Caenorhabditis elegans: one gene and its partner. The protein of the gene in region 2 interacts with the protein of the main gene of each other region in a pairwise test. Each region holds a gene or a part of one and is shown on either strand. Other genes may lie near its edges.

What was found.
Region 1: the proteins of acdh-7 (region 2) and F35H8.4 interact in a two-hybrid assay, tested with the Caenorhabditis elegans proteins (one large-scale study listed by BioGRID).

What each region holds. Positions count from the first base shown.
Region 1 is NC_003280.10:9,552,996-9,564,784, reverse strand, and holds F35H8.4 (uncharacterized protein), read left to right. Parts: upstream 1-4,755; 5' UTR 4,756-4,845; coding exon 4,846-4,911; intron 4,912-4,959; coding exon 4,960-5,067; intron 5,068-5,120; coding exon 5,121-5,252; 3' UTR 5,253-5,288; downstream 5,289-11,789. Other genes in the region: Zinc finger protein zfp-2, read right to left, coding at 5,438-5,603, 5,672-5,952, 6,012-6,260, 6,304-6,584, 6,647-6,783, 6,829-6,913, 6,972-7,041; F35H8.2 (Glycosyltransferase family 92 protein), read right to left, coding at 7,393-7,564, 7,811-8,033, 8,082-8,140, 8,418-8,497, 8,543-8,791, 8,838-8,934, 8,983-9,114, 9,167-9,270; F35H8.1 (uncharacterized protein), read left to right, coding at 11,534-11,732, 11,779-11,789.
Region 2 is NC_003284.9:17,209,733-17,223,343, forward strand, and holds acdh-7 (Medium-chain specific acyl-CoA dehydrogenase, mitochondrial), read right to left. Parts: upstream 7,374-13,611; 5' UTR 7,371-7,373; coding exon 6,942-7,370; intron 6,878-6,941; coding exon 6,747-6,877; intron 6,367-6,746; coding exon 5,937-6,366; intron 5,637-5,936; coding exon 5,388-5,636; 3' UTR 5,286-5,387; downstream 1-5,285. Other genes in the region: acdh-10 (putative medium-chain specific acyl-CoA dehydrogenase 10, mitochondrial), read right to left, coding at 3,535-3,696, 3,745-3,921, 4,087-4,432, 4,481-4,961, 5,077-5,164; Ras-related protein rab-6.2, read left to right, coding at 12,747-12,807, 12,868-12,980, 13,033-13,138, 13,465-13,576.

The DNA of each region.
Region 1 (11,789 bases), on a different chromosome or scaffold from region 2:
GAATTGTCCACAATTACATTGAGGCTCCGTTAATGCACGAAAAGGGCAAAAAGGCGGAAAAGGGGCACGTAAGGCAGCCTTGCCTACTAAGCCGCTGAAATGGACCAACTCTGATTAAAATAAAAATTGGACATAGTTTTCCTTAAAAAGAAGCTTTCAGTTATTCAAAAACAACTGTTAAAATATTTGTTAAAATTATATTGATTCCCAACAGAAAACCAGACACATGAGAAATAAGTGAGCTTTTGCAATGAATGGAGAACCTAATTGAATGGAACCAAAGCTTCATGGCGGTGTGCTTTTGGTGTGTCATTGCATTGATTCTATAGACCGGAAACTGGGAATGTCATATAAATTGGAAGGTACTGTGCAAGAAATTATGTACAGAAAAAAATTTGAAAAATCTCAGAGTTGAGGAAAGATGTTCACATTTTTCAATAGAACATGCAAAACTTTAATTCCAAGTCAAAAAGAATACACCCGCATGAACAGTAAAATTCATAAAAATGAAATTCATGCACTGTCCCATTGTCCCGGGTACAAAAGATCCCGAAAATAGTGTTTGATTCCTGGAGGGTGCGCAGAGAATCTAGAATGAAAAAGGGAAGGACTCAGGAGCCGCACCGGAGTATGTGTGTATGTGGCGTCGCCCCGCAAATGCCGATCAGTTACACAAACACGCGAATAAATATATAGAAATACATGGAATGGCGACGAGAAGTTGACACACTGACATTGTATTACTATAGGTATTTTAAGTGAGAAAAATGGATCACTACAAGTGGAATTTGACACCTTTGAATGGCTCCGCAACTTTGGTCAGAGACATCTTTATTAGCGCAAAAAACTAAGAGTTTGATTACTTTAATGTACAATTTTACTAAACTGCGTATCTTCAAACTGATGTATCTTAAAAAATGCACGTCTAGAAAAGTAATGTTCAACTAACAAAATAATCAGAAATATTTTTTCTTTCTTTTGCATTATTTTTCTTTGCAAAATATCAATTATTTCTTGAGTTGCACAGAGTCAAACACATTTTCTCAAAATTTACAAAAATGTTTCAGAACTGTTCTGTTGTACCTGTCATAACTCAACATCCATTGAATTTCCGAATGCAAATTTTATTTAATAATAATTCTAAGATATTTTGCTACATTTTATCAGTTTAAAGTTTTTTGATATTTTCATGTTCAGCCAAGTTACAGGCCGTTTTTTGAAAAAATCCAATTTCGTCCATAAAACTCTTCATATCCAACGTATCGACTTGAAATTTTGAAAAATGATCACTTTTTTGAGGTTTCTACAATGTCATAAAAAATCTTTCAAAAATGTTGGCTCATCTCCAAAATCGTCCTCCGCTCCAAAATAAGAAATGGGACTTTTGCTTTTCGGAAAATGACCAAAAAATGAAATTGCGATTTTTGGGTCGAAAAATATATTTTTAGAAAGCTGAGAACATGTTATTTACGATTTTCATGTTCATTTTAGGTGATTTCTTTTCTGAAATGACCTAAAAATTAAACAAAAAGCACATAATTTTAATTCTCACGTTTAATTTTTTATTTGCATTAAAACAATTGAAATACTGAGCAAATTACCAAATAATTACACGTGAGAATTAAAAATATGTTCTTTTTGTTTAATTTTTAGGTCGTTTCAGAGCAGAAATCACCTAAAATAAACATGAAATTCGTAAATGGCGTGTTCTCAGCTTTCTAAAAATATATTTTTCGACCCAAAAATCGCAATTTAATTTTTTCGCCCATTTTTCGAAAAGCAAAAGTCCCATTTCTTATTTTGGAGCGGAGGACGATTTTGGAGATGAGCCAACATTTTTGAAAGATTTTTTAGGACATTGTAGAAACCTCAAAAAAGTGATCATTTTTCAAAATTTCAAGTCGATGCGTTGGATATGAAGAGTTTTATGGACGAAAATGGATTTTTTCAAAAAATGGCCTGTAACTTGGCTGAACATGAAAATATCAAAAAACTTTAAACTGATAAAATGTAGCAAAATATCTTAGAATTATTATTCAATAAAATTTGCATTCGGAAATTCAATGGATGTTGAGTTATGACAGGTACAACAGAACAGTTCTCAAAAATTTTGGTGAATTTTGGCAAAATGGGTTTGGCTCTGTGTAACTCAACAAATTATTGTTATTTTGCAATGAAAAATAATGCAAAAGAAAGAAAACATATTTCTGATTATTTTGTTAGTTAAACATTACTTTTCAAGACGTGTAGTTTTTAAGTTACGATAGTTTGAAGATGCGCAATTTAGAGATTTTAACAGGATATTGCATATGATCATATTCGTACGTCTTATCTATACTTTGATTTTATTGGATTTCACATGAAAAAAAAACGTGCAGGCATTGATAAAATGTAGTCAAGAACTTTGGAGTCACCTGGGAAAAAAGGTTTCAGAGTCAATAAACTTAAAATGCCTATGACTAAATACAGTACTCATCAATTATTCCACAAATAATAGAAACATCAAAACCTTGAATAAATACGAGATGTCGAACCATCAGAACCACAAGCAGCTGGCCATTGCCGAACTCTTTTTTCTTGTTTAACCCCCCTCCCCGCCTCCGGTCACTTTGTCCCCCATCCATATCACTTTTTCATTTTTCGACTGGCTCTGTTGAGCCAAGCTTGAGAAGATTGATGGTTCTTGACACCTATCTATTATCCTAGCTGTTATCAGGGACATTGATATCTTCAGATAAAAAATGAGATTCGTGGTGAAAGTGGTCTGTCCTTCCAGTCGGGAGCAACATAAGAATAATTTTGGAAAGCAAAGAAACAGATTGGAAAACTTGAATTAAAAATTTGTCTATTGACTGCTATGAAACATTGAAACGATGAAGAAAGTACTGCCAGAATATGAAATGGAAGTAGACATAGTTAAACGACTTTCAGTTTCTCTGAAATATGAAGAAAAGTAGAAGAAGGAAAAGAAGAGATAGGCATCTAAATAGATGGATCTATGTTCGGAAAAAAGTTCAAACTATTTAACTTTAAATTAACTTTTTTAATCGATTTTACAGCACCGAATCAAACGTCAATGTAGCGTGAGATTCACTTATTCAAAGTCATTAGGGAACGATTCAAGACGAAATTGATTATTTAGAGTGATATCAAATGTAATGTCTGAAGTTCTAAAGTTCAGACTCTGAACATCGACATTGTTAAAATACAAATTGTGGATCAAAAAGTTCGTATAAAACTTTTTAGTCGACTTCCAAGTTTTAGAGTGGCGAAACGCAAGTAAAAATTGCAAAAGCTTTTTGAAAAGATTTTCTACGATATTTTATTATTTGAGCACTTTAAGAATGGCTCTATACAATATTCTCACTGAACAAAAAGTACTAGATTCATTAGAAAATATTGAAGAAAAAACTATCAAAACCTCCGTTTGGAATTCAAATCCAAAAACTAGGTGTGAACCTTTTCATCAGATTTGATCGGCGTGGCAAACTGAGTGTCAAAAGTGAGTAGTAGATGCCAATTAATTTCGGGCAGTTTGTCCTCCAAAAACTGTCGAAACCCAATGGAAGACCGAAATGTAGTAGTTATTCTCACTACTAATTGGAGACACAAATTTGAGAAATATCACATGGGACAGTGAGAAATAGAGATAGAAAGGAAACAAAAAATACATGAGAATTTCAATGTTGTTTTAGATAGAAAAAAACGAAGAGCGATCGGCAGGTATAGTCAAAACCTCAATTTCAACAATGTCGAGAGAAAGATAGGTTGATGTTTAAGAGACATAGACAGAATAACCGGTTAGTCTGATTCTTTACGCATTTTATTTTTCTTGTTTCCGCAATGAAAAATCTTCAAAAAAAAAGAATGCTGGTCACATTTTTATGAGTTATTTTTGGACAATCATCTCGAGGTATTTCGACATTTTTTAGAAAATGTTTTTAAAGAAAATCGCAGGTTTTTTTAGGAAAAGGTTATATTTTTAAATTTGTCAGTACTGAAAAAAAAACTATCAGAAAATTTTTTCAAAATTTTTTTGTCTACCTTGTGAAAAGCGTGATTTTCCAGCATAATCAGAGAAAAATCAGATGAAATTGTGAAATACTTTCGTATACGGTAGCAGAAAAGCATATATATTTTCAGAACCTTTGTTCTTAATGTTCAATAAAAAAAATTAAATCTTTCACGAAATTTTGCGCCAAAAATACGGTACCCGGTCTCGACACGAAAATATTTTGTTGAATACAAAAAACGTGCGCGTCTTTAAAGAGTACTGTAGTGCCAAACTTTTGTTGCTGTGGAAACTTCATCGATTTTTCAAGGATTTCCTCACGGATCGAGAGAAAAACACTATGAAAAATCGGTGAAATCTTTCTGTAGAAAAACTCTAGCGTTACAGTAATCTTCAAAGGCGCACACCTTTTTGCATTTAACAAAATTGTCGTTTCGAGACCGGGTACCGTAGTTTTGACGCAAAAATTATTGTATCTCGTTTATAAAATATAGAAAATTAAGTTTCAAGTAGAAAAAATGAGTGGAAAAGTACAAGAGGAAAGAGGAGAAAAGACGAAATCGAAGAAGTTTTGTCAAGTTTGAAATTTGATATTTCTTGTGTGCATCGTCTCTCTGTTGTTCTCGAATTATTTTTTCTAATTTATCATGTTTTTAATTAATTTTTCAGTAGAAAAGAATTCAAAAAATTATTCCGAGAGCGTGTTCTTATTTTTTTTCCAAAGAAAACTGCATAGTTCAATTTTCTTTTAATAAAATTATTTCCTATCGGATACTCGTTCTACTCGAAGATTTCGTAAAAATTCGTAACTAACATCTTGAAAATCTGGAAAAATGGCAACAACCAATGTAACGATGATGTCAGTGAAAAGTTTAACGACTACGGAATCAGATATTGAGGTTGAAAATTTTCTAGTTTTTCGAATTATTGATCCTTGGGGGTTTCAGGATGGTCCAAACCCAACGCCACCATATGTCTACATCCTTATCGAAGTCGGATACATCGTTTTGTTCGTAATAGTGACGTATTTGATGAGAAAATACAACTTTATGAAGGTAATTTCTCAGCATTCTTGTAATATATTATTGCATAAATCGAATGATTCCAGACAGACGATGACGCAGTTACAAAACACCATCGTCGCCATTTTGAAATGATGAAACGTCAGCAGGAAGATTTGATCACCAGGCAGAAATCCAATGAGAATTTCTTAGTTGCTAATAATGAAGGAAAGGCCTGAACAAAAAAAACTTGAAAAAACGGAATTAGTACCTGTATTGAATGATTGTTTTGGAAAGTTGAAATGGTGAAAAAGTGACAAAAGAAAAGAGGAATAAATGTGGGTAGAAGTGATGGAACATTAAAAAATCTACATCTTCGATAGAGCATAGATTACACAAGAAAAATTAATTTTTAAGAAAGGAATCATATTCTGTAGGGATGTCGTTCGGCTATTAAAAGCTCTTGTTTTCTTCGATTTTCCCGCTGACGTTGCATTTGTTTTTGTACTTGATTACTGTAGGCGACCGATATTGGACGGACGATCGGCTCATCTGTGTGCGCTGCAAGCTCATGCTTCCGGAGGCAGGAACTGAAAAGTTTGAAGATAGATTTGAAATCGGATTTCAAACAAAAAAAATCATTTAAATATCAACTTACTTATCTCTAAACCGTTTATCACATTTTCCACATCCATAGGGTAATTCTTTCGTGTGAGTTCTAATATGAGCCGTCAACGCCTGGCTTTGTGCAAAAGATTTCATACAGTAACCACAAGAGTATGGTTTCTCTCCAGTATGAATTCGCTCGTGAACAAGCATGTCTTTTTTGAAATGAAATCGAAGATTACAGTAACTGCAACTATATCGAGCTGATTTTCCATTTGGAAGAAGATCTTCAGGTGGTGGGCCAGAATCGAATGTTGCTGGATGAGCGGTGGACTGAAATTTTCAATATTCTTAAATTTATTTTTTAAATGAAGAAAATCCTAAATTCTAACCTGATGATGCCTCAGCGCATCTTCTGTAGTGAAAAATCGCATACAAGTCTGACAAGTGCTCCGCGTGAAATGCATTTTATGATGCCGAGTTTTGCTTTCCAATTTCGAAAAGATCCGAGGACAATAATCACACGAAAACATTGGTTTCAATAACGAATGATCTTTTAAATGATGTGTCATCGAGGTTTTATTTGCAAATCGCATTCCACAATTGAAACATCGGAATGGACGAGCATCTCCGTGAACTTCCTGAAAAATTCCAGTTTTTTTTCAGGTTCTCGAAAAATCATACCTGAATATGTCTCTGATATACTTCTTTATTTCCGAAATACGTTTTGCAGTTAGTACACCGATATAATCCAGCTAATGCTTTCGGCGTTGTAACGGGCTTCGGATCGTTAATCCATGAATCCTGTGTGTCAAGTGGAGCTTCTGGAGCTTCTTCTGCACTGATAACTTTAAACCGAAGAACTCGTTGTCCGATTTTAATTGCCATTCTACGAAGAGGCACTGGTTGATGTTCTCCAGAAGATGGATTTGATGACGTCGAAGGTTGCATAGATGAGGAAGTACCTGATAAACAAAATAATTTAATGCGAGTGCCCATAAAGATTGATTAATAAATTAAAACATACAAGGAATAGCATGCATGTCAGTCCCTTCGATACTAAATTCTCCATCCATTTCAACAATTTGTTGCTCTCCAAAATCTTTACTCGTGGATAGTTGTTCCCTTTGGATTGTAGCGGTTTTCTGTACTCCATTGGGTGTTCTGGAAAATAAGATAATTTTCAGTGGAAACACAGTTTTCCCTTACTTGTAGCACTTTGTATTGGTCAATTCATATCCTATCGGTTTTTCCTCGTCCCAAGAACGTTGTTGTATTAAACTGCATGGCAAATCTGTACGAAAAGAATATTTTCAAAAGTTTTTATTGGAAAAATTTTAGTTTAAACCTACTTGGAGCTGTCGTGACTTCTTCTTCGTATATAACCATTGCAGAAGGGTCATTCATCATCATTTCTTCCATTTTTTGTACAAAAAATCATTACAAGTGGGATGAAACAGGGGTTTAAAAAGAGAATTCTGAAAATTGATTAAATCATGTGAAAAAATCGCGGTGTAAATTTACGATAAACAATGCGCGCGTGCGTTATATCGGAGTTTCGTTCCCATTCCTACGTCTCTCACTCTAGTTAATTATGGCGCATCGATGCTCTTGAGACTTAAATCAGAATTTTCATTAAAATGTTTATTTGATTGCAACATATTCATAAAATACACGAAAAAACATCAGAAACCCGCATTAAAATACAAGAAAAACAAAAAGAACCCGAACGTTCTATGAGTAAAAGTAAAAAGTTCTCAGGTGAAAACGAGTCTAGTTACGGTAATCATCAATCAAGTTGACTCTAGATCCATATAAATAATTATTAGCATTTTTATTCGAAATTGGGTCGAAGAAGGTTCGTTCAAAGACCACTTCATGAACACATTGTACGAAACCAAAGTCGTAGTGGGGATCGGCGCGAATGAAGAGACGGGTAGTGTTTCTGAAATGATAAAAGGTTTAAAAATGTTGAACATAAATTGAAAAATTTTAATTAGGTCTCGACGCGTCGATTTTTTTTTAATGTAAAGATGTATGCACCTTTAAACTGTACTGTACTTCCCAACTTCTTATTGTTATGGACTTTTTCTAGATTTTGTGTAGTTTGTAAACAATAAAAAATAAAAGTAATCAGGGAAATATGGAAAATTTGGATTTAAAAATATTATTGAGAAAAAAGTAAACCAACCTAATCGCAGAAAAATCCTCCATCGCGTACAGACAAGATCCATCAACATCATATTTCATCGTATCACATTTCTGTTCAACAACCGAAATTTCTCGATGCTGATCATTTGGTAAATCGAAATCTGGAGTTTTCAGAAGATAATCGTATAAAACTTTGTGTTGAGAGTGGGAAATTGTTGCCACTGAGCAGAGATGTTGAAGCCAGTTTCGAGACACTTGGAATACTGTAAATGGACATTTTGATAATCTTAAATACATAATTCAGATCTCACATTGACTAGAAGTATCGTTTGGATTTGCGTTTGCTAACGTTTCTTCTTTGAAATGAATTCTGAAAAAAATTGAAATTTCCAGAGGCTGTATATATTGGAGACCCAAGGATGATTGCGAAGGGGTGCTCATGCCTACGAAACTGTGCGCAAATTGCAAATTTTGCTATCAGGGCACGGTTCAATTGCCCGGTAATCATCTCATCCAAAAATCTGCTAATTCGAGTCTGATAACCGTTTTCCGCTTGCAACATCAGCCAAAGTGGCACAGTTTCGAAGGAGTGGTCATTCCCCTAGATTGAGATTCTCCGATGCAAGTCCCCTCTCCTGATTGCTTACCCATTCATCTCAACCATATCTCTTAATCGTCTAGACCTTCTCGATAAGAATTTAGTACTGTGAAGTGGGATGTCATGCTCCTATAAATAAAAATTTAGATTATCTCCCTTCACTCAGTTACCCACAGCTGTAATAACTGCATGCTTCCAGTCAAATTCATCAATTTCCCGTAGACACCTTCTATGAGCATTCAGAGTTCCGTGAGCTGTGGAGGTGTTGAACAGTTCACGTGGAACAAGAACATTCACCATACAATCACCGAGTCTGAACATCCTCTCTTTGAATAACGGCTCTGAATTTATGTCCAATACGAAACAGAAGAAATGAATTGGAGAATGCATCATTGCCAGAACTTCTTCCACAAAATCATAATCCTAAAATCATAAGGTTTCATGTCAACGGATACCCAAATGCACATACTTTTGAAACAACTCTAATAAAGAACATATTATGAAAACCCGACATTGATTTAGGAAGATCTGCAGGAAGATATCTACGACGTCGAATTTGGAAGCAGCTGGAAATTATTTCTAAGATGCTAAGGGAAACAAATTTAGAAACATACTTCCTATCATTATGCGTAGTCTCAAGTAATGTTCGATTCTCTATATAAGTCAAATAATCTTCTGAACTTTTGTTGAACATAATTGCACAGTCAATTTCATTGTTTGGTGCAATTGGGACAAATATGTGAAAACTGAAATAATTTTGGTCTTGTGAAAAAAATTGCATATTGATATTTGACAAACCTGTAAGTTGCATAAGCGGTCAGTGCAATAAACAATATTAGTAAAACACCAAGTGGAACTGAAAGAGCCCACATGGTTTTTGTGCAAAAATCGTGGTTCGCCATGGTATGAGCTCTGAAATTCCACAATTTAAGACGATTATGGAAAGATGATGACGGATTGACAAAGAAATCTCTTCGAAATTCATAATTGGAGAAAGAAATTGGGAATTTTGATTTTAACTATTTGATTTACTCTTTCACAACTAAGTTTGAATATTTGTAGACAGTTCCCTGAAGCTTGAAAGAATAAAGATCAAGTTCTGCAAAGTTTAGGGAAAGTGAAAAGGAAAAAAAAGTTCAATTCGCCAATCACAAGCCACAAAACTCGCCGATAGAAAAATAATCTGATCGAGAACAAATTGATCAGTCGGGAGGAGGATTCAGTCGAATCGATAACAATATATCGTATCGGACCGACTGTGACCAGCCAGACTCATGTCAGGTGGGACGGTAGTAAGAATAAGATGAAGACGCAGAATAATCAACAAAAAATTGGCGACATACAGAAAAAAGAACAGGTTCTTCTAGTTTATTTGGTTGTGTGTGAGCGGGTGGTGGGTGTTTAGGGGTCGAGAGATGAACGACCAATACATCATATTTTGTCTTAATCTACTGTAATAACACGTTCCACAGAATATAGCCGATGAGAAGTTGAAGGAATTAATGAAAATTCGAAGGAAAAGCTCTACATAGGAGCTGTAAAGGAAGTGCTTTAACTTTGAAGCACGCCATTTTCAAGAGTGGAGAAACAGTTTTTCGAATTTTTTCGAAATTCAGGACCTTCGTGCTAGGCAGATAGGTACGTCTTTAGGGGACGTACCTGCTTCGAGCCCGCCTGCCTACCTGCCCACCATTTTTGAATTCTATATTGGCGTTAATCTGGGCGCTCGGTGCTCTTACGGTGTTGAATTTTCATTTCTCACTTTTCAATTCAAATAAATTAGTTTAGCTGAGAATTTTTCTGAAAAAGTCGAGGTAGGCGTATGTTTCGTGGAAGGCAGCCAGGTAGTTATTCTTCTGTCTTGGCAAACTAATTTTAATGTGAAAAATTAGGTATTAAAATCATATGAGCGGTATTTTTATTTGATCTGAAACCTAATTTCTTAATTAAAAAAAATCAATGTTTCAAGTAGACAGTCAAAAGAAGTTTGTTGGCAAAACGTAATTGGGATAGTTCAACGGAACAACGATTAAATTGCAAACACTTGGAAAAACTTCTTTCTTGGACTGTATATATTGTCCATATAAAGTTGATCTGTTACCCAAATTTTGGGAAAGTCAAAATATGGCGATTCCCGTTCCCACGAGTTGCCGTGAAGTTTCAAAAAATTGTTTAAATAAAATGAGAACCGATGAAAAAATGATAAATGGAAACACAATGGCCTTGGTCAATTGAAGAAAAGTGGACCTAATGGAAAGTGACGTTGTCCACCGAGACATATCGGTTTTTGCAAGACATGGTAGTGAACAAAAATTAAACAGTTCAATGTTTATTTCGAAGATCAAAACAAATCATATGCTCTTCAAATTTTGAAAATTTTATAATAGGTATATTTGTTGTCAAAAAGTTATATACTACATCAACAAAAAAAAACAACAAAATTAAAGAATTTAAAAATTAATAAAATACATCCACACTCGGGATACACTACATTTAAAACATTTTAACGTCATTTCCTTATAAGTACGAACATACTGATCATTAACTTTGAATAACCAATTGTCCCTGGTCAACAAGTATTTTGTCCTTACTATGTATACCTTAAAAGGAAAAGGTACGAAAAACATTTACATGTGACGTAAATTAAAGATTCTATCTGTGTATACACCAAAAGGTTGAGACGGGAACAGAACATCGATCCTTTCTTTTTCTGTCATGGTCAGTATTTGAGAAGAAGGAGAGACCTTGGTTGTATTGTAATTTTTAAATTAGAGAGTGAAGAAGGGGGAAAGTATATCAGAAAAAATATATGAGTTTATGGATTTGATAAAATATTGGAAGGAAGTTCTGTTTATTTGCTTGAAAAATTGCGTTCACAGTGAAAACTAATGCCTGCGATTTAATTTAAACTTTCGGTGATCACATGCGGTTTTGTATGGGAAACGAGTACGCCTTCAGTGCCTACGTGCCAGCATTTTTTGTCGTAGAGGCATGTGCAGGTTGCCTTAAAAGCACGCAAACATTCTTCGCCTACCTGGCAGTTCTCATCCAGATTATTCTGTCAAAGAAGTTGCTTTATTTTTACGTGAACCTAAATACACATTAATTGATACAGTGTTCCACCAAAATTTATAAATTTATTCTTCTTTCTCTCAAGAAATCGTCATGCGTTATCTTTCCAATTTGCTGTGCCTAACTCTGACGTTTATCGTTTGCTTTGGCGCCGAGCGCGATGCAGATGAAGAAGCTTATGTACTGATGAATCTTCTGAAACAATCTATTGATATGGACCAAACTGAAGCTCTTCCAGGATTTGTATCGAGGGATTTCACATATGATACTTGCAAGGGAATTTGGAATAGAGGTATACAACTGATTATTAGATTTTTTCAAAATGAAATCAATTACAGATAAATATATG
Region 2 (13,611 bases):
TAAGCGACAAGGAATCCAATTACGAGAAAAGTTTGAACCCTCTGCCCCCTCCTTTAGTTTTTGGCGCCGGTGTTCGGAGACGGAGGAAAAGCAAATTTGTTTGAGTGAGAGATTAAAGTTGCAAGAAAAGGGAAGCAATAGGATTACAATATATGTATGTACTACGCGTTTTGTCTAGTGGGAAGGTAGGGCAAAGGATGAGAGGATGGATACGAGAAAAAAAAACACTTGAGGTCATCATGGTCGTGTCTTTTTTTTTTGGATTCTTTTAAATTGTTTTCCAAAAAGAAACTTATGTTTTTAGTACAGAAAATTTGTCATCATTCAAAATGCCAGTTTGAACATATTTTAAGTGAGGATGTTAGCAATTTTAGAAAACGAGGATACGAATTTTGAAAAAAAAACAAGCAAAAAGTGTTGTCAATTCACGTTTTTGCATACAACCTTTGTTTATGTAGATTTAAGGAAAAACTGAATTTGTAAGACCTTGGTATCCACTTGTAGATCTGATTCACAAAAATTCTTCTGATAATAAAATCTTTTGTGAAGGGAAATAACAGTTACCAGTAAGAAGGTGTGTAATAAAAACAGACCTTGCTATTTATGTGGAAGAAAATTTGTTCAAAATTATGTGGAAGATAACATGTCCAATGTTCAAATCTGACTTTTGGATTTAATTAACTTTTATGAAAAAACATTATATTTATTTTATTACTTCCCTCTTTCAGGGTCCACTCACAATCCGTGTTTCAACGAGGAAATAGAAATTCTGATAATCCTGAATTGTAGGAGGAGTCTGAATAAAAATTCTCGTTTTTCAAAGTATTCGTTTTTTCAATTGATTTTTTCAGCAATTTCAAAATGCTTTAAACCGTTCATTCTCAAAATTTCTAAAACCGTAATAAAACAAATTACTGGTTTTTTAATTGGAAATTAATCAGCATTACTTAAAAAAAGTCAAAAAATTTATTTTGCGAGATTTTTTGAGTAAAACTTTGCATAAAGATGTTGAAAAATACGTTATCTTTGTGACAAACATTTCACATTTAATTGTAGCCTTTGATGAAGTGCTTAAAAACTAGCTTAATATGTGTTGATATGAAAATGTGAAATTTTCAAGTTTTTTACTATATCAAAAGTATTTATCTGAAAGATAAAACATTTCTCTGCATTTCTAAACAAATTAACATTCAAAAATATTGGCGCAACAAAAGGGATTTTGCAGGTTTTTTGAAATCACAGAGAAATCAAATTAAGGGCCACGTATTGTTTTGTATAGCGACTTGGAATCAGTTTTAGAGTGACCGTTCATCGTGAAACTAAAACAATTTTTTCAAATTGTTTAGATGTTGGGGCACTCCATTATGATAAAATTGAACGTTGACAACTAGGCCGTCTTACATAAGCGGAAAAATCGGCATTCTTCTTAAATTGCAATTAAGAATGTTTACTCAAAGTTGTTGGTTGACTTAAATATTTCTTAATTTATGCCGTACACTAATTTGGTAATTTTCTAGTGAACAAACGACCAGATCCAAAAAGATCAGTAAATAATAACACCTACAAGCTTGAAAAGTGGATATTAACCATTTTTAAAGTAATTTTTTGAGAAGTTTCATATGAATATTTGACGGTTTGATTATTTCACTTTTGATAATGTTAGTTGAAACAAAGGATTAAAGGACGATCCGTTTTTCAAGTGCTATGCACTGCGGATCTGGGATTCAGGTACGAAATTTCTGCAACAAACTTTTTGGACATAAGTTTTGAAAACAGTTAGACAAAAAACTAATAGCAACAATACGCAAACTGATAGTTAAATGATATCGCAGTGTAATAATAGTTAAAAACCTGTTTAAAGAAACTGGAGGTCGGGTGAGTGTATCTGTGATTAGTGTGAACTCCTCACTTCCTCCTCTCATTCTCGTTTTCCTGTGTTTTCACTTTCCAAGTCTCCAGAAATGAATAGGTGAAAACCGCATTGTCGATCTTTTCACTGTTTGTACATGTCCAATTGGGTCATCATACAAAAGGAGTAGCCGCACGGTTCTCGCCAGAAAAAAGGTGGAATGAAGAGTCAGGAAGAAAAGGTCAAGTGCGATATAAAGGAAAATGATGTCTTAATTGACTTGAGTGTTTTATGTCTTCGAGATATTATTCAAATGATTTTCTGTGTCAAGTTTCATACTACAAAACCATTTGAAATAACGGAAAAGTCATCGGAAAAGAACATGTTGTGGAAATTCTTGTTACGTGTTGCCTTAGCAAGCAATTAGAAATGCAAAGCGCTGGTCAACAACTGAACAAAGATGGGTGATAAATATTTAATAAACTCTTGTTCATTCATTTTGACGACCCATAAAATTTAAAAGAAGACTCGTGAATTATCAGAAATCAAAAGTGGCTGAGAAAACTTGGTTGTGTGCTAAGCATGAAGATGGATCATAAAAAAAGAAAAAAAACGGGATTCTTCAAAATTACATTTGAAAATTGGGAAACTCTGCTTGTTTCCTAATTTTCAAAATGCGCCATAAACAATGTTGTAAAATATTGTTAAGTGTTTAAATTAAGCTTCAATCACTTTGTGTGAACATTGCAACAATTTAAACCTGCAGCAAATGCTTGAAGTTTTTCAAAAAAACACAATTTTTTTAAAGCTTAACAATTTGCCAAAACTCGAGCAGAACCTTGGAAGATTGAAACATTTTTGTTAGAAATTTGTCAATTTCCTCCGCCTGTACAGAATTCAAAGAAATTTTAAACATTAACTTTTTTCGAGAGTAACTCACCGTACTTCCATTATTAGTCTTGCATGTAAACTATCAATTTGGTCAAAATTTCCCGTTACAATCCAGAAACCTCAAAGTTCAATTTCTGATCATTTGTAAATGAAGAATTCGTAAACTTCAAAAGAAGGCACCTTCGAAGAATAAAGGAAACCATAATTTTCCCAACAAAACCTGGGCTTCATATTTACAAATAGCAAAATGCAAAACATAAAACACACAAATAAGTTAACAATCAAAAATCAAACCTCCAATAAATGGAGATCGAGAATTTAATGATGATGTGTACAAAAATACAAAGCTTGGTATTTTAAACAAAATAATTGAAAACCGAGCATAACGGTTTTAGGTTTTAAGAAATTGCTGACAAAAATTGCTTTATTTCTTCATAGCGAAAATTCAATAAATCTAAAGTGTAATATTTTTCTTTTTGTATACCAACACACCAATTAGCAATGCAAAGTTGCTGCGAATATTTTTCTATAAACAAAATTGTTTGAATATTTTCATTTGCTTAATTGAATTAAGAATAATTGAGAAAAAATTGGGTAAAAGTAGACATTCGTCTATTGATTTTCACTTTAAAACCTGCAAAATCCTATACAAATTCTAAAACTTCAAATTTATAAAACCCATTCATTTCAATCATTTTCATTCAAAAAACGTGTATACAAATCATACAAAAAAGATACTTAGTGGCTGGAGAGACCTCGTGTTGTGTAACCAAATTGCTCAAAAACGGCACATCCTAAATTCTGCTAGTTCCATTTTGCGCGAAATGTCCGAGAAGCATGCGCGAGATGACAATGCGCTGAATTTGCGAGGTTCCCTCGTAGATCTGATAGATCTTGGCATCACGCATCAGTTTCTCCACTGGATACTCAGAGTTGAAGCCATTTCCTCCAAAGATCTGAAATTATGTAGGTTGCCTTTAGTAATCAGTTTTGGTAAGACAAACCTGAACAGCGTTGGTGGCAGCTTGGTTGGCAGTGTCGGCGGCAAAGCACTTGGCGATCGAAGCATTGTATGAAGAGCGCACCTTGTTGTCGACATCGTTGGCGGATTTGTAGGTGATAAGACGAGCGAGCTCGAGGTTGACAGCCATGTCAGCAAGCATGAACTGGACGGCTTGGTGCTGGAAATTGTCAATATTATTTTATGTGCAATTTGAAAACTTCTGAAAAATCTGAAACAAGTAAAGACCGTGGCGAAAAGTCCCTTCCAGGAACGAAGTTCTTCGATCATTTCTAATGTTTTATCTATCGTAGCTCCGCTGTAGGTTTCATATGCAAGCTCTTACATTGGCAATTACGGTTCCGAAAGCCTTTCTCTCCAGAGCATACTTGGCCGACTCGTCCAAACATCTCCACGAGAGTCCAAGTGCTCCGGCGGCAACTCCTGGTCTCGTCATGTCAAAGGCTTCCATGGCGACCTTGAATCCAGCTCCAGGGGCTCCCAGCACATTCTCGGCTGGCACGCGGACGTCTTCAAAAGTGATGACACGGGTGTCCGAGCATCGCTGTCCCATGTTCTTCTCCTTCTTTCCACGGGTGATTCCAGGAGTGTCACCGTCAACGATGAAGGCGGTGAAAGCCTTTCCAGCTGGAGTCTTTGGGTTTGGATCGGAACGGGCTAGCACGAAGAACCTGAAAATATATTTTTAATTTTTATAACCCAACGCAATTTTTACCAACCATTTAGCATGTCCTCCCCCGGTAATCCAGGCTTTGGATCCATTAATAATGTACTCATCACCCTTCTTCTCACACTTGGTCTTAACTCCGTTGACATCAGATCCAGCACCTGGTTCAGTCACACAGTACGAAGCAATAATTGGCTCCGCAGCGAGTGCTCCAAGATACTTCTTCTTCTGTTCCTCATTTCCAGAGATGTAGACAGGAGCAATGGCAAGAGATGGTCCCATGATACCAAGTTGAATACCAGTGCATCCATAGGACAAAGCTTCAACAATGAGGGCAGTCTCAAGAGTGGTCATTCCTGGGCCACCATACTTCTCCGGAATCTGTGGGTTCATGAGTCCAAGGCTATGAGCCTGTCGGACAATTTCCCATGGAAACTCTCCGCTCTCGTCAAACTTGGCTGCATTTGGGACGAGAACATCCTTGGAGAACTTGAGAGCGGCGTCTTGAATCTCCTTTTGGGTTTCGCTGAGGTCTGAAAATTGTCAAATTAAGTTTCGTACAGTTATTTAGTTTTGCTCTGTCTATTCTCAAGAGCTACTAAAATCTAGATTACTTTGGATAAGTTGCCAAAAGTATATTCAACTTACCAAAAGAAATTTGACGAGATTGAGTGGCAATGACTCCGGTTGCAGAGCGGGAAAGCCCCAGCGATGATGTTGCAATTCGGGAAAGCATATTTAACCTGCAACTTTTGAATTAAAACCTGAGAATTAAAAAAAAACAACCAAAAAACAATACAAAAATATGTAACACGGTGACAAACCGTAAAGTGCGAAAAGTAAATAAAAAAAGCAAGTAAATCAAAACTGTTTCTTTTTTTTTCAAATCATTTACAATTACAAAATATACCAGTGTTTTGTACAAAACTGTGATCAAACGGGGAAAAACGGGTGGCGTGCTAATATCCTCCATTCTGAGCGACTCGAGCGAGCAACTGACGAGCAATGACCATGCGTTGAATTTGCGAAGTTCCCTCGTAGATTTGGAAGATCTTGGCGTCACGCATCAGCTTCTCCGCTGGGTATTCAGTGTTGAAACCAGCTCCTCCAAAGATTTGCACAGCATTTGTGGCGGCTTGGTTGGCAGTGTCGGAAGCGAAGAGCTTGGCGATCGAAGCGTAGTAGGATCCTGGGCGGCCAGCGTCAACCTGGAAGAGTGAGGGAAATTATGATAGTTTGAGTGTGTTTCTGCAGAAAATGGCTGGCAATTAGCGTGCTGACCAATCTTTTCTAAGTTTAATCAGCATTTGAAGTTCGTATAGCGTTTTGTAATTTCCTATAATAGTACCGATTTTATGCTCATATTCCTATGTACATCACTGTGATGTTCTGCCTGCTGCATCAAATGCGTCATGGTGTTTGCGGACTTGTAAATTTACGGGGCGCCTCCCATTTTAACATAAACATTTTATCCTTCAAAAAGCTTGATTTGATTCTGCTTGACCTACCTCTGCACCACTCTTGTAGGTCATCAATCTAGCGAGCTCACAATTGATGGCCATCTCGGCAAGCAAGAACGACACTCCTTGATGGTTGGCAATTTGCGTTCCAAACGCTTTTCTCTCCAGAGAATACTGTGTGGCGACGTCCAAGCAGCGGTAAGCAACTCCGGTGGCAAGTGCTGCAACAGTTGGCCGGGTTTTGTCGAATGTCTTCATGGCGACCTTGAATCCCTCTCCTGGGGCTCCGACGACGTTGGCGGCTGGAACACGGACGTCTTCGAAGGTAATACCACGGGTGTCTGAACATCGTTGTCCCATGTTGATCTCCTTGCGTCCTCTGGTGAGTCCTGGGGTGTCCCCTTCAACGACAAATGCGGTGAAGGCTTTTCCTGCTGCGGTCTTTGGGTCTGGGTCGGAACGGGCAAGCACGAAGAACCTGAAAAAAGAGCGTAGGAATGTTGTGAATTTTTTAGCGACAAAATATTTTATTTTCAGATAGATTTTTCCAGAATGCTCCATTCAGCATATTTATGGATTTACAGTGGCCCATAACAATATCTACGGTAGACCTTTTTTCTCGCGTCTCCTAGAATCATTGCACTTTGACCTGTTGATTATAAGTACACGTTTTGATAAGAAAAACGAGGGTTCTTCATCTTCCTGTCGCATTCTTTCTTTCTCTATTCCATTTCTCTCTCTCTCTCTCTCATTTCCACGTCTAGCGGTACAAAGTCCAAGTTTTGTGTAGTCGACCAATCATTGTAGTCTGCCCGACTTTACAATGACGTAGATCCTCACCACGTGGAACTCACTCACCAGTTAGCATGTCCGGCGTTTGTGATCCACATCTTTGAGCCGTTGAGAATATACTCATCACCCTTCTTCTCACACTTGGTTTTGACTCCGGCGACGTCGGATCCAGCTCCTGGCTCGGTGACGGCGTAGGACTAAAACAAAATTGATTAGGTGTTATTTACCGTAAGAACTCAAGTATATTTCGAAAATACTTACCGCCACAAACGGATTGTCGATCATTCTACCAAGGAATCTCTTCTTGATATCATCATTGGCACATAAAATGAGCGGGGTCAGTGCAAGATCATTAGCCATGATAGCGGTAGCAATACCCGAGCATCCATATGCCATCTCCTCACTGATGATACAATTCGAGACCATATCAACTCCAAGTCCTCCATAAGCTTCTGGAATGTCGGCGATCAGATATCCCTGTGCATGAGCCTTCTTGATGATCTCCCACGGGTACTCCATGGTTTTGTCGTATTCGCCGGCAACTGGGATGACCTCATCGGCAACAAACTTGCGAACATTTGCACGGAACTCTGCTTGGTCAGCGGTCAACTGGAAGTCCATGCCGGTTGACATGGCCTTGTTTGTGGTGCTGAACAGACGCGTGCATTTCGTCAAGTTTCTGGAGAGCATTTTCTGAAAAAAACTTTATTGAGAGTTTGCTATGAAAAATCGATAATCCTAGTAATTGAGGAAAAGACAACAACAAAAAATTGGAACACACACGGTGTATGTGGCGTCTGCTGCTATCATCAAGAGAAAAATGTTTTGTGAAGGTAAAGAGAGAGAGAGAGAGATGGAGAATTGGCCCGCTTGGGCGGAGACTACTTGTTGTTGGGTATGGATAAGAAAGTCACGGAGGTGATAAGGATGGCACGCTTTTGATACTGTTTTGGGAAAAACTGCCAATGATTTAGAAGAATATGAGATTAATAGAGATCAAACAGAAAGAACCAGAGAACTGCGAAAATGGGGTGGTGTACTCAAGAGAAATGAATGCGAGATATGGGGAGGGGGGGGGGGGGGGGGGATCGATGGTCCGCAGACTGTCGTCAGGTGTGGCACTTTGTTGTGTTGGCAGAGTGTTGTGGTAAGAGAGTGCGAGACGCAGATGGTGTAACGCAGGTAAATGACCACATGGCAACAGTGTAGTCACTATAAAGTCCAAAGTGCATAGGTGCATGTTCTTCGGAGCGTATGAATGTTACTTTGGTACTTTAATTGAGCAGTTTTTTTATGTTCAACTATTATTCAAAATCAATGAAAAAAGTATACCAAGAATGTTTATAAATAAAAATATCCACAATTCATGAACAATGAGACGCAGGATTAAGAGAAAGAAAAAACAGCTAATAAGAGTTTAGTTTCCGATTCACTCAGAAGTATAGACAATAAAAACATTATACATTTGAAATAATTCTATTGCAAAAATTTGAGTAAGGGGTGGGGTTTTTTTTTGACAAATCGGCAAATTCCCGAAATTTTTTCTTGGAAATTTTTAAATTTCAATTTTAATCGGGAAAATTGTAGGCATCCTATGAATGTTCCTACATCTGTTTTTATTTCAAAAATCCCTTTGGCCACTTCCGGTAAATTGATGTCCGGCAAACGGCTAATCGGCATTTTGCCGAAAATGAAATTGTCCGGAAAATCGGTAGACTGGCATACAGCCGGAATTGAAAATTTCCGGCACACCGGCAATCTGCCGATTTGCTTAATTTGTCGACTAGCGGGCCTATGGGCCCGCCAGCCCTTCGGGAATGGGGATAGGGTTAATTCGCTCTAAGTTATTAGCAAGGTAGCTGGCGCAGGTTCTCGGCTTCGCCTCGAACCTGTTAACGGGATATTCGAGATCTCTTTGAAATTATTTTAGGAGTGGGTATATGTTTAGAAAACTTGACTATTCAGGTTTGAGGCTTCGCCTCGAAGCTCTTACTGTGTAAAGTGAAATCTCTTTAAACTTTGATTCATTGCTCCAGGACCGACACTGTACGAATAACTTAGGCTGAGATTTTGTTCAAGAATAATTTGAATGTATTCAATAAAATAAGCGTGTTTTCAATCATCACTGTGAACTACAAAAAACGGTGAAGGAAAAGGAAAACTCATGAATACGGCCTGCTCTGCTTGGAATAGGATTAAAGCCAGCCCACAATTTTTTAAGAGTATTCGGGCCTGCGGCCCTCAAACCTGGTTGTTAGGTTTGAGTAAATAACAACCGCGTCGCAGGCCTACAGCCTGCTCTGCTTAGAATAGGATTAAAGCCAGCCCACAATTTTTTAAGAGTATTCGGGCCTGCGGCCCTCAAACCTGGTTGTTAGGTTTGAGTAAATAACAACCGCGTCGCAGGCCTACAGCCTGCTCTGCTTAGAATAGGATTAAAGCCAGCCCACAGTTTTCAAGAGTATTCGGGCCTGCGGACCTCAAACCTGGTTATTAGGCTTGAGTGAATAACATATCTGCTTAGAATAGGATCAAAGCCAGCCCATAGTTTCCAAGAGTGTTCGGGCCTGCGGCCCTCGAACCTGGTTGTTAGGTTTGAGTAAATAACAACCGCGTCGCAGGCCTACAGCCTGCTCTGCTTAGAATAGGATTAAAGCCAGCCCACAGTTTTCAACAGTATTCGGGCCTGCGGCCCTCAAACCTGGTTATTAGGCTTGAGTGAATAACATATCTGCTTAGAATAGGATCAAAGCCAGCCCACAGTTTTCAACAGTATTCGGGCCTGCGGCCCTCAAACCTGGTTATTAGGCTTGAGTGAATAACATATCTGCTTAGAATAGGATCAAAGCCAGCCCACAGTTTTCAAGAGTATTCGGGCCTGCGGCCCTCAAACCTGGTTATTAGGCTTGAGTTAATAACATATCTGCTTAGAATAGGATCAAAGCCAGCCCATAGTTTCCAAGAGTGTTCGGGCCTGCGGCCCTCAAACCTGGTTATTAGGTTCGAGAGAATAACATCTACTTTTTGGAAAATCGTGAACGCCTGTGGGCCCCCAGCCCTTCGGGAATGGGGATTGTTTTAGAAAACTGAAAATAATAAAAGCTTTCTAAATCAAACTTATCTAAGAGTAATCGCATATCAGGCCTCCGGCCTGCCTTGGTATAATGATTTAAGGTTGACTGCGTCTTCTAAGAGTAAGAGTGCCTGCGGCACTCAATCCAGCCAATCTGGGCTTAAAACAGTTGTAATCGCACAGCAGGCCTCCGGCCTGCAATGCCTGAAGTATATGTTCAAAGTGAACTTCTTCTTAGAGTTAAAGTGCCTTTCTATTGTTTTTTTTTGGAAAGAAAACATTTTCCAGCCACCCGCACGCATGCAGCCTTTTGTGAGGAGAGGCGGCCTGTGAGGAGTCATGCACTAAAACTTCAATCCGTCATAACTTTGCTCATAGTAGGAGTTTGAGAAAAATTAAATAATTGTTGAAATTGGCGTAAAAAGTAGAATAATACGGCGGTTATTATGTTTAAAAATAACAAAAATTGAAACATATCACCTTCTGGGAAGGCCTGGAAGCTCAAAACTTCCACAAATGTGCTGAAAGTTGTCAAGACCGACCAAATTTAGTTTGTCTACCTTGCTTCAATGAAAATTATCAAAATTAAAACATCAAATCGAAAGGATAGTTGAAAACTTGTCCAGGAACAGAGGAAAACTGGATTTCCATGTGCAAAAATTAAATAACCTATCTCTGCGAAAAATGATCGGATCAAGCTGTGATTTGAGATTTCATTTTATTTTATTCTATTAATTCTAAATTTAACATAAAAACCGGAACGATAGTGGAAAGTTTGTGAATTTTATGGAAAAATGTAAATTGTTTGAAAGAAGTGTTCATTTTTTCTATTTTTGAGACTATTATTTACCTTTTTTGAAACAAAAAATTATATTTTCCGCTTCCTCTCGATGTGATGAACATTTTTCCAAAAAAAAATTTGAAAAAGGAGCAAGACTAACGGAGATATGACCGAAACAATGGTGAAAATGTGGCCGAAAACACACCAAATATGAAAAGGGGAGGTGGGTGTGTGTGTGAGAAAAGGGGGGAGGTGCAGAAATTTTGGCAAAACTTTAATTATCGTTTTTAAAATAACGAATAGAGATATCACAATGAACTTAGATACAATGGATAGGCATTGAAAAGGAGAACTTAAGTTTCGAGTCTCAAACGTTTTGAACATAAACTCGAATTTTCCTTCAATTTAAAGTGGTTTTCGGCCAGTACTTCGGTGTGCGCAAAAACAAGAGGGTGTGGTTTTCCGCTTGTGGAGCCGACAGGATGCTCCAAAATCAACCCCCTTTTAGATGAACACACGTCGCTATACTTTGTGAATGTAGAGAAAAAAGAATTTCAAAAATCGGTTCCGTGAGAGCCGAGATATAAACGTTCAAAGTTGTATTACACATTTTTCGGACATTTTTTGAACATTTTTTGAACACCGAAAACGCGTGTGTGTGGCAAGATGGGGGTTTTAGGAAGGAGGCAGACAAAAAAATTTGCCGAACGGAAGAGCCTCTCGTCCCTAGTCTGAATCTCACTGTTTGAATTTTGTTTAGACATTTCCCAGAGTTTGGACATGAATCTAATGACGATTCAAGTATCGTTTTCATTTTTTTTGCAATTCAAGTTAAAACATAATAAAACCAATCACGAAAATGCCTCCTACGCATTTATATCAAATTATGACTCATTTGGTCTCCTTCAGTGGAAATTAGCTATTTAAAACGGTGATTAAAATGCTTGAAAGTAAACCAAAAAAAAGTCATAAATGTTTTGAAGTGTTTTTTTTTAATTTTTACGTCTGTTTTCTTTAAATAATTTTCCTTTAGACTTGTTTAGATTGCTAAAAATGGATTAGGCACATTTTCCAAAGTTCATGGCACAGCTATAGCGAATTGAAGTTACTAATTAGAGTTTTAATATTATTATTTATGAAACAAATTTTTTAAGAACACATATTTTCTGTGAAGAGTTCATTTTAAAATTAGCTATCCATTTGAATATTGTTTTACGATTGTTTGCCGAAAATTATTCCAAAAGTTCCGAGACTTTTAGTTTCTATAGTTCGGATTATTCTGAATTCTGAACTAAAATTTTCAAATGTACAACTTTTCATGTTAATTCAAAAAATGACTCGTTTGCGCTGCTTTTGTGACAGCTGCATATTTGAAACACTGATAAAACTACGTTTTTTATTTAAGTCTGCAAAAATTGAAGTTAAAAAAATAAATCTTTGTTTTGGAAAAAAATTCAGTATTAGTATTAAATATTTCGATTTTTAACTGTGTACTTTTTTCTTTTAAAACCCTCTTTTTTTAAAATTATTTTTTAAAATAATTTTTGTATTTAATAACAGATCAGGCAAACAAATTGTTAAGAATTAATAGAAATTAAACTTCTGAGCTGCAGTTTCAGATTTGTTTGAAGTTATTGAACAAAAATCAAAATTCCGAAACGTTAAGTTGACCTCTATTCAAAAAACAAACAAAACTCCCTCATCTAAACGTGTTGTTATGGTCAGTGCGCAGTGCGCAGGTGTGGATTTACGAGCGGCCGAGGGGTCGGGTCTCGACGGGAAACCCCTTTCGCCTGAGTCTCTGCCCCTGCATATCGCTACGTGGTTGACCGGCTGAGAGGGGGAAAGTGTTCACTGCATAGCATATTTCCGTTTTCATAAACCTTTTACGGTTTAAATTCATCAGTTTTAGCTCGTTTCGCTTCAAATTTCTCATTTTCGTCTCCTTTTTTTTTCGTTTTCTACTGCTCAGTTGTTCGTAAAGCGAGGAGAGACAATCGATGAGAAAAAGAGACACAGATGCGGCCCAAATGTTGCATTTCTCCTCTTTTCCGTGCCTTACACCCGTTCTCCTATCGATTTTTGTCCCTGCGTGGCAGTGACCACATCTCTTCCGTTATTTTGTCTCGTGTTCGTGTTCCTCTTGCGAGAAGTTTCATTTATAATTTTTTTAAAATAAAACTTGATTTAATTTTAGAAAAATTACAGAAAAATGTCGGACTTTGGTAATCCGTTGAAGAAATTCAAGCTTGTGTTCCTCGGGGAACAAAGTGGTGAGTATTTTGATTGAAATTCTACCGTAGATATTGAATTCTCAAGTTTCTAAATTTCAGTCGGAAAAACCTCCCTAATCACTCGCTTCATGTACGACTCCTTCGACAACACCTACCAGGCCACCATCGGAATCGACTTCCTGAGTAAGACCATGTACTTGGAGGACCGAACCGTAAGAAATCAGTTTTTGCGTAAAGAAATGATTTCAAAATCCGTAATTTCAGGTTCGTCTTCAACTTTGGGACACCGCTGGACAGGAACGTTTCCGCTCACTCATCCCATCCTACATCCGTGATTCTACAGTTGCTGTTGTGGTTTATGACATCACCAGTAAGTTTGGAAGAAGTTTTTCTGATGTTTCATGCTGTAAAGCTTCACACTGGATCCTCTGGGAGAAATTTTTTAACTATAGTAGTGTATATAGTAGTAACTATAATAACTATATTGGTTTAATACTACAATAGTCACTGGCAGCTCTAATGCGAAAAGCTTCTAGCAAGAAGAGAAGCTCAAAAAACAATTTATATTGATAGAAAAGTTAGAATCCAAAAGGAAACCATTATTTTTTGTTTAATCTTGATTTTGAACTAGGGTGGGCAATGAAAAAACTCTCGGTAACGACAAAAAAGCTTCATTTAACCCCAACTTTTTTGCAGACTCCAACTCTTTCCATCAAACTTCCAAGTGGATTGACGACGTCCGTACTGAGCGTGGAAGTGATGTAATCATCATGTTGGTCGGCAACAAGACCGATCTTTCCGATAAGAGGTTCGAATGAGAGTTTCCGCTAAAAATTCAATTAA